3 linked regions of the Danio rerio genome follow. The protein of the gene in region 1 binds, or shares a complex with, the protein of each later gene. Links are inferred from orthologs where the notes say so. Each region holds a gene or a part of one and is shown in the gene's direction. Other genes may lie near its edges.

Region 1 (3,657 bases):
TAAAAAAAAATAAACAATACCCTACTTAATAATAATAATAATAATAATAATAATAATAATCCTCATCATCATTAATATTATTAACATTATTAAAGTAGGATTTTTTCATTTCCTAATAAATAATAAATATTAAATTTCATTTCTTAATAAATAGCCTCAATATTTATTTATATGATTTATATATGATATTAGAATATGTGTTATCTTTTTAAAGTGATTTTATGTTTTAGAATAGAATATGGAATGTTCTCAATAATATTTGTAAAGGAAACACAGGCCCTAGATCTGTCGTTTACATATATTTCAATTAATATGGAAAGAGAGTGCATGTTTACCAAAACTAATATTGGATTTTATTTTAAATGTATGTGCATGTAAAACTACACTAAAACAAAATTGTTTTTTTTTTCTAAAGAAGTAGTTACTCCACGCCGTTTAAAACATCATTATGGCTATTTTACGATAAAACTAACGTGGTTCCAATGATGGATCTGCGACAGAGAAACTGCGGGTTTTCAATACAAACAATGTATTGCACTATGATAGTTCAGCCGCAAGTTACATCGTTGTTTGGGAAAAGCACCCCTTGATGATGATCAGACAATACTCTCACTGTAGAATTACAAATTATGACAAGAATAAAGTTTGGAAATGTTAATTGATATTTCAAACTGACATGAAAAAAATAGCAACTGACTACAGAAAAATAGAAATACCTGAAATAAAACCTTTTCTTGTGAAAATACTAGTAGCCTAAGACTTTTGCATTTGGGCTGCACAATATATTGTTTCAGCATCGATATCGCAATGTGCGCATCCGCAATAGTCACATCGCAAAGATATATGTTGAGTCTAAATTATAATTAAACAGGAGCTACACAATTGTTTTTAATTACTGTATTTATATGACAATTATATGATTTGGGAAAATAATTTTTTTTTCTTACTTATAATTTTTGACTTTTTCTAAATTAATTATCTACATTTCAAAGTGAAAACAAGATTATTTTACATACCCCATGGCAGATAATTTAGCTTATTTTAAGGAAAACCTCTTAATTTTGCCTTATTTCATATGACTTTTAAAACAAAACAATATTTTTACTTGATCTAAGAATTTTTGGACTAGAAACGAGACAAAGAAAAATAAGAAAAGCATTTTTTTTGCATTGTAATTAAAAGCTACAACCGTCTTGTGAAACTGTATTCATATTGCAATATTTATCGCAGAAAATAAATATCGCAATATCAGTTTTTTTCCAATGTGTGCAGCCCTATTTTGTACAGTACTGTAGATTACGAAAATTGACTTTCATATTCACAGAAAAGCATCTTGGGGTGAAAGAAAAAGGTGTAAAACTTTTTGTTCACTCACTACCTATTGTGATATATTCTGAGATCTTGATGTTGATCGTAATGAATGAATAAAGAAATAACGATTGGTTCCTCAGGCACTACAGAGACACGGCGGTGCTGGTCAGGTTCAGACAGGCAGACGGACGTCCCACGGTTCCACAGTGAGGAGCGCAGTCTGGCCCTCCAGTTGTGTGGCTGGATCAGTCAAGGGCCCGACACCGATGTTGAACCCTTCCTGAAGTCTCTGGAGCAGGAGGGCGAGTGGGAACGAGCTGCTGCCGTCGCCCTCTTTAACCTGGACATCCGGCGGGCCATTCAGATCCTGAATAAAGGAGCTTCCTCAGAGAAAGGTAACAGGACTGTCACTGTCACATCAACAACAGAATCAATCAACAGAAAAAGGAGGAATTTTAAGAGAAAATTTCTCTTTTTGTCTATTCTTAATAGCATTTTTTAAAAGAATTTAAACTATTAATTACAATTAAAACAAACCAACAAATAATGCCCATATGGTAAAGAGAAGCAAAATAAAGCATGTAAATATTAGCGGTTGCACCGACAATTTGACTGGTCGGCTTTAACAAAGACTATAGAATACACAAGGCATGTCAGTCTTGCTGTACGTTCACACCAAAAGGCGTGAGAGCGTCAAAGTAGCTGGAAGTCATTCATTTTCAAGAGGAGCCGGTGGCGATATGCGGCGAGGAGCACCACGGTGCGCCGAGGAGAATTGAAATCAAGTAATCTTTATGGTAATGAGCTATGACTTGGTTCAGCGGGAATCAATCAGAATGTAGAAGTCCACCGATTGAGAAGAGTCCAGAGAAATCACAGTCACTGTAAACTTTGGTTTCGGCCACAGTTGTTCCCAAGTGTTTGATGATTGCTGTCGCCGGATTTCCAATTATTTGCAATGTTTTCTTACAGGAACGTACATCTTTGCTACTGTTGCTGATAATACTAAATATAGCAATCTAACATCTTGTACAACATATCAAATTTATTTTAAACTCATAATTCAACAATTCACACTTAAAACATTTTAGGTGGATCATTTTTGAAATCTGTTTAGTGACATAAATTTGATGGCTGTTTGCCGCCACCCATTGGTTACACAATGTAATTGCTACAACATTCACCAGCGTCCAGTTACAACAGTGATTTTAATCTTTACCATAAACATCAGTGTGTATAACTGAACTATAAACTGATCTTCCAGTACTTCTGTATTAGTTATTTGTTTGTAACTAACTAAAAAAGTGTAAAAACTGAATCTCTCTCAATCAAACACAGATTTGAATGCAGCGCTTCGAAAGATTAATACACATATACAAATCATCATTGCATCTTTTTATTTATATATATCATCATTGCATCTTTTTATTTATATATATATATATATATATATATATATATATATATATATATATATATATATATATATATATATATATATATGAGCAATTCCATGAAAATGTCAACCTTGTCATGAAAAGAAAAATGTTTTCATTAAATTAGCGAAACCGTTTCTACGCTTTTTTGTGTAGGCAAGTGTTTTACAGTACTTTAAAAATACTTAAAAATGTCTCTGTCAATGTTTTCAAACTATTATATTTGATTTACCAAAGTCAAACAAATGGCAATTTCACATCCGTCACATCCCTAACGAAAAAGTGTCCCATCCATAACAAAGCTTTTCCCTCAAAAATGCAAAAATGTCAAAATAAAATAAAATCAATCATTTTTGTTCTATAACGAGCCAACTCTTATACTTTTGATGAGCATTATTTATTTTGGGTTGTGCAGTTTAATTCACAGAATTTCTACAAAGTATGTTGTATACTGTAAACTCAGGGACTTTTTTTTTGTCACATCCATAACGCATGTTTATTTTCCTAATTTAAAGTATAAAAATGTTCACAGATTTAAATTTTTTGATTCCATAACTCTGTGGTTAGTTGTTTTGGAAAATATAAACAGATGATTCAATATAATGTTAACGTATACTTTCTCTGCGAATTTATGTTTTGAATTTTTACTGCAAATGTCACATCCATAACGCTAGAATCAGCTATATATATATATATATATATATTAAACATATAAAACATACCATAACTCAAATACATTTTTCCCATTTTTAGCACATTGCTCTGCACAGTTGTCATTAATGTAATGCACAAAAAATCTTTTTTTTTACTGTAATACTGCAGAATAGTGTTTAGTAGATAGAAAAGCATTAATAGTATTACATAACTGCAGTAATAGTCGTTAATTGTATTTAAAAGCATTTTTAAATAT
Region 2 (3,657 bases), on another chromosome or scaffold:
CAAATGGGTACGACTGTACAGACAAAACTGCAACCGCTGTGGGAAAGGAAGTAAGTTTTTGTTAAAGTTAAGAAAAACCTAAGGGATGAGTTTTTTAAAGCCAAAAGAGGTCATGGCAAAAGTTTAGACCCAGGTACACAATTATAGAATATGTTTTTAAACCATTTATAGGTTTTACACTGGTGTATATATTAAAGTTTTGATTTAAAAAAAGTAATAGTTACAAAACTATAATTAAAAAAACGAATTATTTCTTTGATAACTGGAATAGAATATTAGAATTTTTCGGTTTACAATATACTGATGCCTTGTTTTACTAGGCTTTATTGGTGATAATGGTCTGGAATGTTGGATCATTATTGCCTTTTTAGCTTATAAGTATACAACAGAAACTAACCAGACAGTAATGTGTGACTTGAGTGGACAAAATAAAATAAAATAAAACATCAGTATTTTTTAGAAAGTGTACTTTTTTTTGTTGCTTTTATTCTTTCCATAATAAAAATTTATACTTGTAGAGCAACTCAAGTTCTGTAGTCAATAATATTTAACTTTAACAGGTAAAACTGTCCAAGATATGAACAAAAGCAAGTGATCAAATAAAATTCAAATTTAAAATCAAATTTTGATTTTAAAAATTATAATAAATAAAGAAATAATAAATGTAATAATGAATAAAAAATAATGAAAAAAAATTAATTTAAGAATCTTGAACAATATTAATGATGTGAAGTATAGTTCCGGAAACTTCTTACTTCTCTGTTTATCTGTCTGACTTTACCATGGTTTTCTTTTGACCGGCTCTGTCGTTTTAAAGAGCCTCGTCCTTTTAAGCGCAGTCAGTGAAGTTGCGTGATGTGGTGCCTGGTGAAAGTATAAATCAGCCTTAAGATGTTTGTTTGTATTTTCCTGTAGTTCAATGATGCATCTAACCTGTCTTTAGTACTGTTCAATTTGAATACATTTATTTTACCACTAGTTTTGTGATTTTTGCATTTCTCTTTATGTGTGTGCGTGTTTTTGATGTTGTGATATAGATCATAAATGTTATACTTAATGGTCTTGAAAAGGTCTTTAAAAGTTTTAAATTTGACATTATGATATCTGCAGAAACCCTTATAAATACTTTTAGATCATTAACTTTAATCATTACAATTGAAATGTGAAGAGACTTTCAAACCAGCACAACAAATAATGTTTCTGAAGACAATCACCTACTGCACCTTTAAACTAAAGTGTTACCACCATTTTTAGATTAAGTACAGATTGTCACTAATACCCTCACTTATTATGTATCTATTAATAAGATATTGGCTGTTTATTAGTACTTATACTGATCTGTTTCTACATCCTTAATCATATCCAATAACTAAACACAACTTCAACCTTACTAACTATTGATATGCAGCAAATCAGAGTGTTTCTGAGCTAAAAATCTTAGTTAATGGTTTGTTAATGTGAATGTATCTTAAACTAAAGTGTGAGCATGATAATGGTATTTTATTAACACACTGAAATGTCTGTGTTGTAGGTGCGAGAGAAAGACCTGTCTGTGGTGGTGGAGACTCTGGTGGAAGAGTTTAATATTTTCCGAGAGGAGGGAGGAGAATCAGTGCCTGTTCACAGTCAGGACTCCTGCAATGGTCTGCAGAGGAACGGCAGAGAGGGTGAGTGTAATGAAGTTTACGGCCCTTTTGCCGCCGGGAAGAAGGAGGCGGAGAACCGACGCAGGAGACTGCCGTCTAAACCAAAACAAACGGATGGCAAATCCTTACGGAGACTGCCGTCAAACTGAAAGCAAAAGTAAAACAATATGCCCGGGCCCGGTCCTCTCTCGGCTTCCTCTGCCATCATTCCTCCTTTTATGGTCCAGAGCTCCTTCCGTGGGATTCGAGGCAGGTGCGCACCGCAGGTGTATCCACTTACGCGGTGGCCTCACTCCGTTCCCACGGCTCTCGGCCACGCCCCCTCACCACAGTGAGAAATGGATAAAATATATATTCAGTGTTCATACGGCCCTGAAAAACCTGGAAAAGTCATGAAATTTTGCCAAGGCATTTTTGTTCAGGCTTGGATAAGTTTTGCAAAAGCTAACTCAAAAAAAAAAAAAAAAAAAAGCCTCTGAACCGTCTCTGTCTACAGAGCATGAGAGCACTCAGATTTACTGTATCTGTTGTTTCAATCTCAAGATGAATGAATGCAGTAATTAATGATTAATTAATAACATCATTTTCATTTTTGAGTGAGCGAACCCAAAAATGTAGCATTCGCTGTTGGCCAGGGATAAATAGGTGAAGTTTTTTGAGAACTGGTGGATGGTTCCCAGAGGCGAACTGGCCATCTGGCATACCGGGCAGTTTCCCGCTGAGCCGACGTACTTTTTGGGCCGGGCTGATCATCTTGTTATGATCTCATAGGCCCATAAAACACTTAGCAGACTGACGTTTATTTCTGCCTAATTGATTGGCGATGCTGTGACGATCTAAAAGTAAGATGTTTCTTATTCCAAACAGACCGGCCCATGTGACATAATCTGCAGCCCATTGGTTCTTTTCTTTATTGACATTCGCATGATGATGAGATATCATGACATTTTGTTTTTGATCGTAAGCATGATGTAGGTTTATAGTTACAATAACATTTATACAAAATGGTTATAATGATATTTACATATGATAAAACTAGTGTGCAACTTAAGCAAAACTAGTACTATTGTTTACATTTAGTTATGTAGTTCGGGCCCAAACAAATATTTGTTGCATTTTTTTAAAGAAGTTTATTTGATTGACTACCGTCTTTAAACTATGTTTGATGTTTTATTGTTGAGTTAAATATGTTTTAAGGGTCTCTGTCTGACACTGCTTTTATTATTTATCTTTATTTTGGTAATCAACATTAACTGTGTGCATCAGCAGGCAGTTTTTGTTATGTTCATTATTTAATGTAGGCTCCCTCAAAACACACAGGCGCACACAAGACGGACTTCCAGTGTGGATTATAATTTTATTATAATAATAAATAAAATTTTTTAAGCATTTAATTTGTCAACTTTCACTATTTCCTATATATGGCTTTTGTGCTTTTCTAGAATGGGAGTTGGTAAACATATTCAAGGGCGTGTACAGATAGGGACCATTTTGATTGAATGTAGTGGCCCGCTCTGTCCCAGTCCAGCCCTGATGGTTCCTATTAATTCCTGTAACTACATGGCACTAAAGCACCTATTCATTGCCCCCAGCTTGGTTTAATAACAGCTTGTACACTTAACAAATGCTAGTATTCCAACGTGAATATTAAATCTAGTTTGTCTTTGTGTTCATTCAGTTCCACATGCAACTGTTCATCCAGTGTTGATCCCGGAGAATCATTTTTGCGTAATGAGTTTGGATCCGGACACTCTGCCAGCAATCGCAACCACCCTCATAGACGTTCTGTTTTACTCGAACAGGTATGAAAAGTGCTGATCCGTGCATTGGTGATCTTTTCACTGCTTTGAGTATTGTTTGGCAGCAACAAAAGCAAGTCAGCGCTGTCATTTACTGCCAGCAAGAGGTTTTTTGAATTAAATCACTTTCATACATTGAAAGTGATTGCACAACTTTTCTGCTTTTAAAATTTTGTGATACAGTAGTTCACCCAAAACTTTGAGTTTTTTCA
Region 3 (3,657 bases), on another chromosome or scaffold:
GAAAGAGAGGTGTTACAGTGGTAACTTATACACATTTACATGCTGCATTAAAAGATCACACTTTTAGGGTAATGACTTTATAAAACAGGGGTGGCCAAACTCGTCTAATAAGCTTGTTTTATCCTGCCCCTTTTCGCTCAGCCGCATGACAGAATATCACAAGTAAATTAAACAGGGGGCTAATAATTCAGGGCGGCTAATAATTCTGACTTCACAGGGTTCAACGCTAAGGACATTTTCTACTGGCCCGACTGGACCAGCAGTTCAGATTTTTACTGGCCCTGCCAAAATTTTCACTGGCCCCACCAAAATAAATAAATAAAAAATAGCTATTTTTTTAGCCACATATTTTAAATAATGTGTCAAAAATAATGTCGTTGAATCTAGAATTTAAATATTTTTAAAATGTTAAAATATTTAGCAGTAAAATACAGCAGTATGGAAAATGTGCAGGTATTTTATTGCTAAACAAAAAGTGGCGGACTTAAAAGTGATGGAAAATTATGCAAAACATCACTTCATTTTTTTCGATGTGTTGTACCCATGTAAATATCTTTTTCCACAACGTTGGAAACAGACGTTTTCTTTTAGCCGCATAATTTGATGTTGTCGTCTCTTCACTGTTCTGGTTTTTACCAGGTTGTGAAAAAATTAACGTGCTAACAACAACCAATCAGATAAAAGGAACCAAAAAGCAATATGGGGTTCACGACTTTACAGAAAACGTAGCATTCTGAGACTTAAAAGCACAAATTGTTTCTCAGTTCTAAGACTGTATTTGCATACAATTGACAGTAGCAGGCAAATAAAAATTTGATGACAAGGCAGCACTGGCCTGATCGGGCCAGTAACGATTCTCTTTACTGTCCCGAACATCTCTCATGCTGGCCCCGGGCCATCGGGCAGTCCTTATTGTTGAGCCCTGCTTCAACTTTGTATGTCTATAGGTGGGCCCACACAGTTTGCGCTACGCCACTGTTTTTTGTTGGACTTCCCACAAGTTTCAATGGAAATAAAACATTTATTCTATTCTACTGTATTCCATTTCAGAAATCGAACACTGCAGTCGAGTACGTCGCTGCCCACCTGTCAAAGATTAACGGTCTGGACTGGCACCCTGATAATGAGTACATCCTGGCTACTTCAAGTCAGGACAACTCTGTTCGGGTGAGTATAATCATAATTATTGATCATATTCTTAAATAGTTTTAGCTGCAGTTTTGCTGATTCTGTTTTTATACTGATTTATCTCAAAAGTTCTGGGATTACAGACAACCCCGGAAGTACCTTGATATCTTATCCTGTCAGGTGCCTGTGTGGAAGGCCAGATACACGGTAAAGTTTAAATATGCAGTTTAAATATATATTTTTCTTGATATTTTCATTTTAAATACTTTGTTTGTTTCTGTTGTGATGATCTCTATCAGGCAAATGTTTAAAATGATTACGTATTTTTGTTTTAGTCTCAAAAATACAATAAAAACAATATGGAAAAATGGGTGGCACATTGGCTCAGTAGTTAGCAGTCGCCTTACAGCAAAAAGGTCGCTGGTTCGAGTCCTGGCTAGGCCAGTTGGCTTTTCTGTGTGGAGTTTGCATGTTCTCCCCATGTTGGTGTGGGTGCTCTAGTTTCCCCCACAGTCCAAACACGCTCTATAGGTGAATTGAATAAGCTAAATTGACTAGTGTATGAGTGTGTATGGGTGTTTTCCAGTACTGGGTTGCAGCTGGAAGGGCATCCGCTGTGTAGCTTATCCAGTCCTTCCAGCCGCAACCTAGTACTAGGAAACACTTATACACACTCACATTCACACACACACACTATGGTCAAATTAGTTAATCCAATTCACCTTTACCACATATCTTTTGAAATGTGGGGAACACCCGGAGGAAACCAGGGAGAACATGCAAACTCAACACAGAAATGCCAACTGGCCTGGCTGCCACTGGAACAAGCAACCTTCTTGCTGTGAGGTGACAGTGCTAACCACTAAATCACCGTGCTGCTCATTAGTGAATTTTTAAAGTTTATATTTTTATTTGTATTTACGCTGTTAATATAAGAGATGGAAAAATGAAAATTAGTAATTCAAATAATGGAGAATCTGCATGTTGTAAAGTACTCACTGCATCCTCTCCTTTTCTTCTGTCTAGCCTTTCTCAAATGGGCTGGTTACAGTGATGGTTCCTCAGCTTCGGCGTGAGAACAGCCTCCTCCTGTGGAGCACACTGGAGCTGAACAGCCCTGTTCATGCGTTTGTGGGCCATGACGATGTTGTGTATGAGTTTCAGTGGAGGCCGCAGAAAGAAGGTGAGCAGAGCTGGCAGTCGAAGGAAATTAAGGAATGTTATTTACCACAAAATCCCCAGATTGATTTTGTGTTTGAATTGACAATTATTAGTCTGAACCCTTGTCATCAAAACCAAAACTGCCTCTTCTCTCCTCCCACCACATCACATGACAACCTCAAAACGTTATGCATTTATGAAATGCGCTTTACACAAGTGAGTGGGCTTGACAAACCACCAGTAGAAACACTTTTCTCTCTCTAAAAAAACACTAAAAAAAATAAAGAAACTATGAACAACTGATCTGTAAAGTGTGAGTTAATATATTAGTTAAGTGTTAGTTATCAGTTTATGTATGTTATTGGGACGTTATTCTAAAGATGCAACTATTCCTCATTTACTTACAGTTAATAAATAAAGAATAGTTGCAACTTTAGAATAACGCCCTATAACATATATACACTAATAACTGATACTGAACAAGTCTTTAGTAAGTAATTTACTAACAGCTTGTTTATGATCTATTACTTATTAATTAGGTATAGTTATAACATTAAAAAACTGTTACAAAGTCATTTAAAGCTTGTTAACTAACAGCTTGTAAGTTATATATTGGCTATTTATAAGGCACAGTTATAAATAATTAACAAACTATTGACTTATATAACAAGTCATTTATAACTCACTAACTAACAGTTTATTAATGGACTATTAACTAGTTATAACGAAATAGTTATACTAAATTGTTACCGTGAATTTTTGACTAAATTGACTACATCACATCTGTGTGTGAATGTGTATGGGTGTTTCCCAGTACTGGGTTGCAGCTGGAATGGTATCCACTGCGTAAAACATCTGCTGGAATAGTTGGTGGTTCATTCCACTGTGGCAACTCCTAATAAGTAGTGGACTGAGCCGAAGGAAAATTAATAAACCAATATTTTGTGTCTGTGACCATAGAACTGGAGAGTTTTTAATAAATCATGCATACCAACTTTAACTATAATTTTTTTTCTGCTGTCCGTCTTTTGTGCATAAGCTGTATCTGCCTCAAAACAATGATCAATAATTGATGTCCATGTGCTATAATCAATCCTTAATAAAGTTTAGCAATTACTCAATAGTCAATTAATTGCTTTCATCTATAATGGAGATAATTCTGGCAATAAATGCTTCATTTTCACTTTCATAGCAAAAATATAATTGTATTTGTGCACTGTTCATATATATCTTAGGGTCCAAAGACTGCCAGCTGGTCACGTTGTCCAGAGATCAAACCCTGAGAATATGGAGAGTTGATCCTCAGCTCCAGAAGGTGATGCTTGGGAATGGATTTTTGTTTCTATACAGCTGGAGATGTTATGTTAG

The links.
Region 2: the proteins of mios (region 1) and castor1 are in contact, whole or in part, in a cryo-EM structure (PDB 9LVK), measured with the Homo sapiens proteins. The link is inferred for Danio rerio from reciprocal best matches to the Homo sapiens genes MIOS and CASTOR1. Residues at the interface, in NP_001357005.1 of Homo sapiens: Ala83, Asn84, Val109, Pro110, Lys111, His112, Ala113, Arg114, Asp134, Lys135, His136, Arg137, Asn184; in NP_001032755.1 of Homo sapiens: Val94, Ser116, Thr117, Tyr118, Gln119, Thr120, Asp121, Thr188, Tyr236, Leu255, Thr256, Ser257, Ser258, Ala295, Tyr296.
Region 3: the proteins of mios (region 1) and wdr59 are in contact, whole or in part, in a cryo-EM structure (PDB 7UHY), measured with the Homo sapiens proteins. The link is inferred for Danio rerio from reciprocal best matches to the Homo sapiens genes MIOS and WDR59. Residues at the interface, in NP_001357005.1 of Homo sapiens: Asp705, Trp710, His711, Arg713, Ala714, Ile718, Ser721, Lys728, Pro729, Leu730, Ala731, Gln732, Val733, Phe734, Val735, Ser736, Cys737, Asn738, Phe739, Ile744, Lys780, Pro781, Leu782, Pro783, Leu787, Cys788, Leu789, Gly793, Pro795, Gln819; in NP_085058.3 of Homo sapiens: Tyr871, Arg876, Glu877, Arg879, Ala880, Glu881, Leu883, Lys884, Pro889, Pro890, His893, Lys894, Gly895, Ile896, Glu897, Phe898, Gly899, Val900, Tyr901, Arg906, Glu908, Val909, Arg910, Thr912, Phe922, Gln923, Ala925, Ile926, Cys927, His928.

The regions. Positions count from the first base shown.
Region 1 is NC_133191.1:51,769,482-51,773,138, reverse strand, and holds part of mios (GATOR2 complex protein MIOS), read left to right. Parts: intron 1-1,451; coding exon 1,452-1,706; intron 1,707-3,657. UniProt on the Homo sapiens protein: As a component of the GATOR2 complex, functions as an activator of the amino acid-sensing branch of the mTORC1 signaling pathway. The GATOR2 complex indirectly activates mTORC1 through the inhibition of the GATOR1 subcomplex.
Region 2 is NC_133180.1:12,722,461-12,726,117, reverse strand, and holds part of castor1 (cytosolic arginine sensor for mTORC1 subunit 1), read left to right. Parts: intron 1-1,531; coding exon 1,532-1,667; intron 1,668-3,324; coding exon 3,325-3,448; intron 3,449-3,657. UniProt on the Homo sapiens protein: Functions as an intracellular arginine sensor within the amino acid-sensing branch of the TORC1 signaling pathway. As a homodimer or a heterodimer with CASTOR2, binds and inhibits the GATOR subcomplex GATOR2 and thereby mTORC1.
Region 3 is NC_133193.1:7,039,696-7,043,352, forward strand, and holds part of wdr59 (GATOR2 complex protein WDR59), read left to right. Parts: intron 1-1,050; coding exon 1,051-1,167; intron 1,168-1,257; coding exon 1,258-1,335; intron 1,336-2,154; coding exon 2,155-2,311; intron 2,312-3,524; coding exon 3,525-3,604; intron 3,605-3,657. UniProt on the Homo sapiens protein: As a component of the GATOR2 complex, functions as an activator of the amino acid-sensing branch of the mTORC1 signaling pathway. The GATOR2 complex indirectly activates mTORC1 through the inhibition of the GATOR1 subcomplex.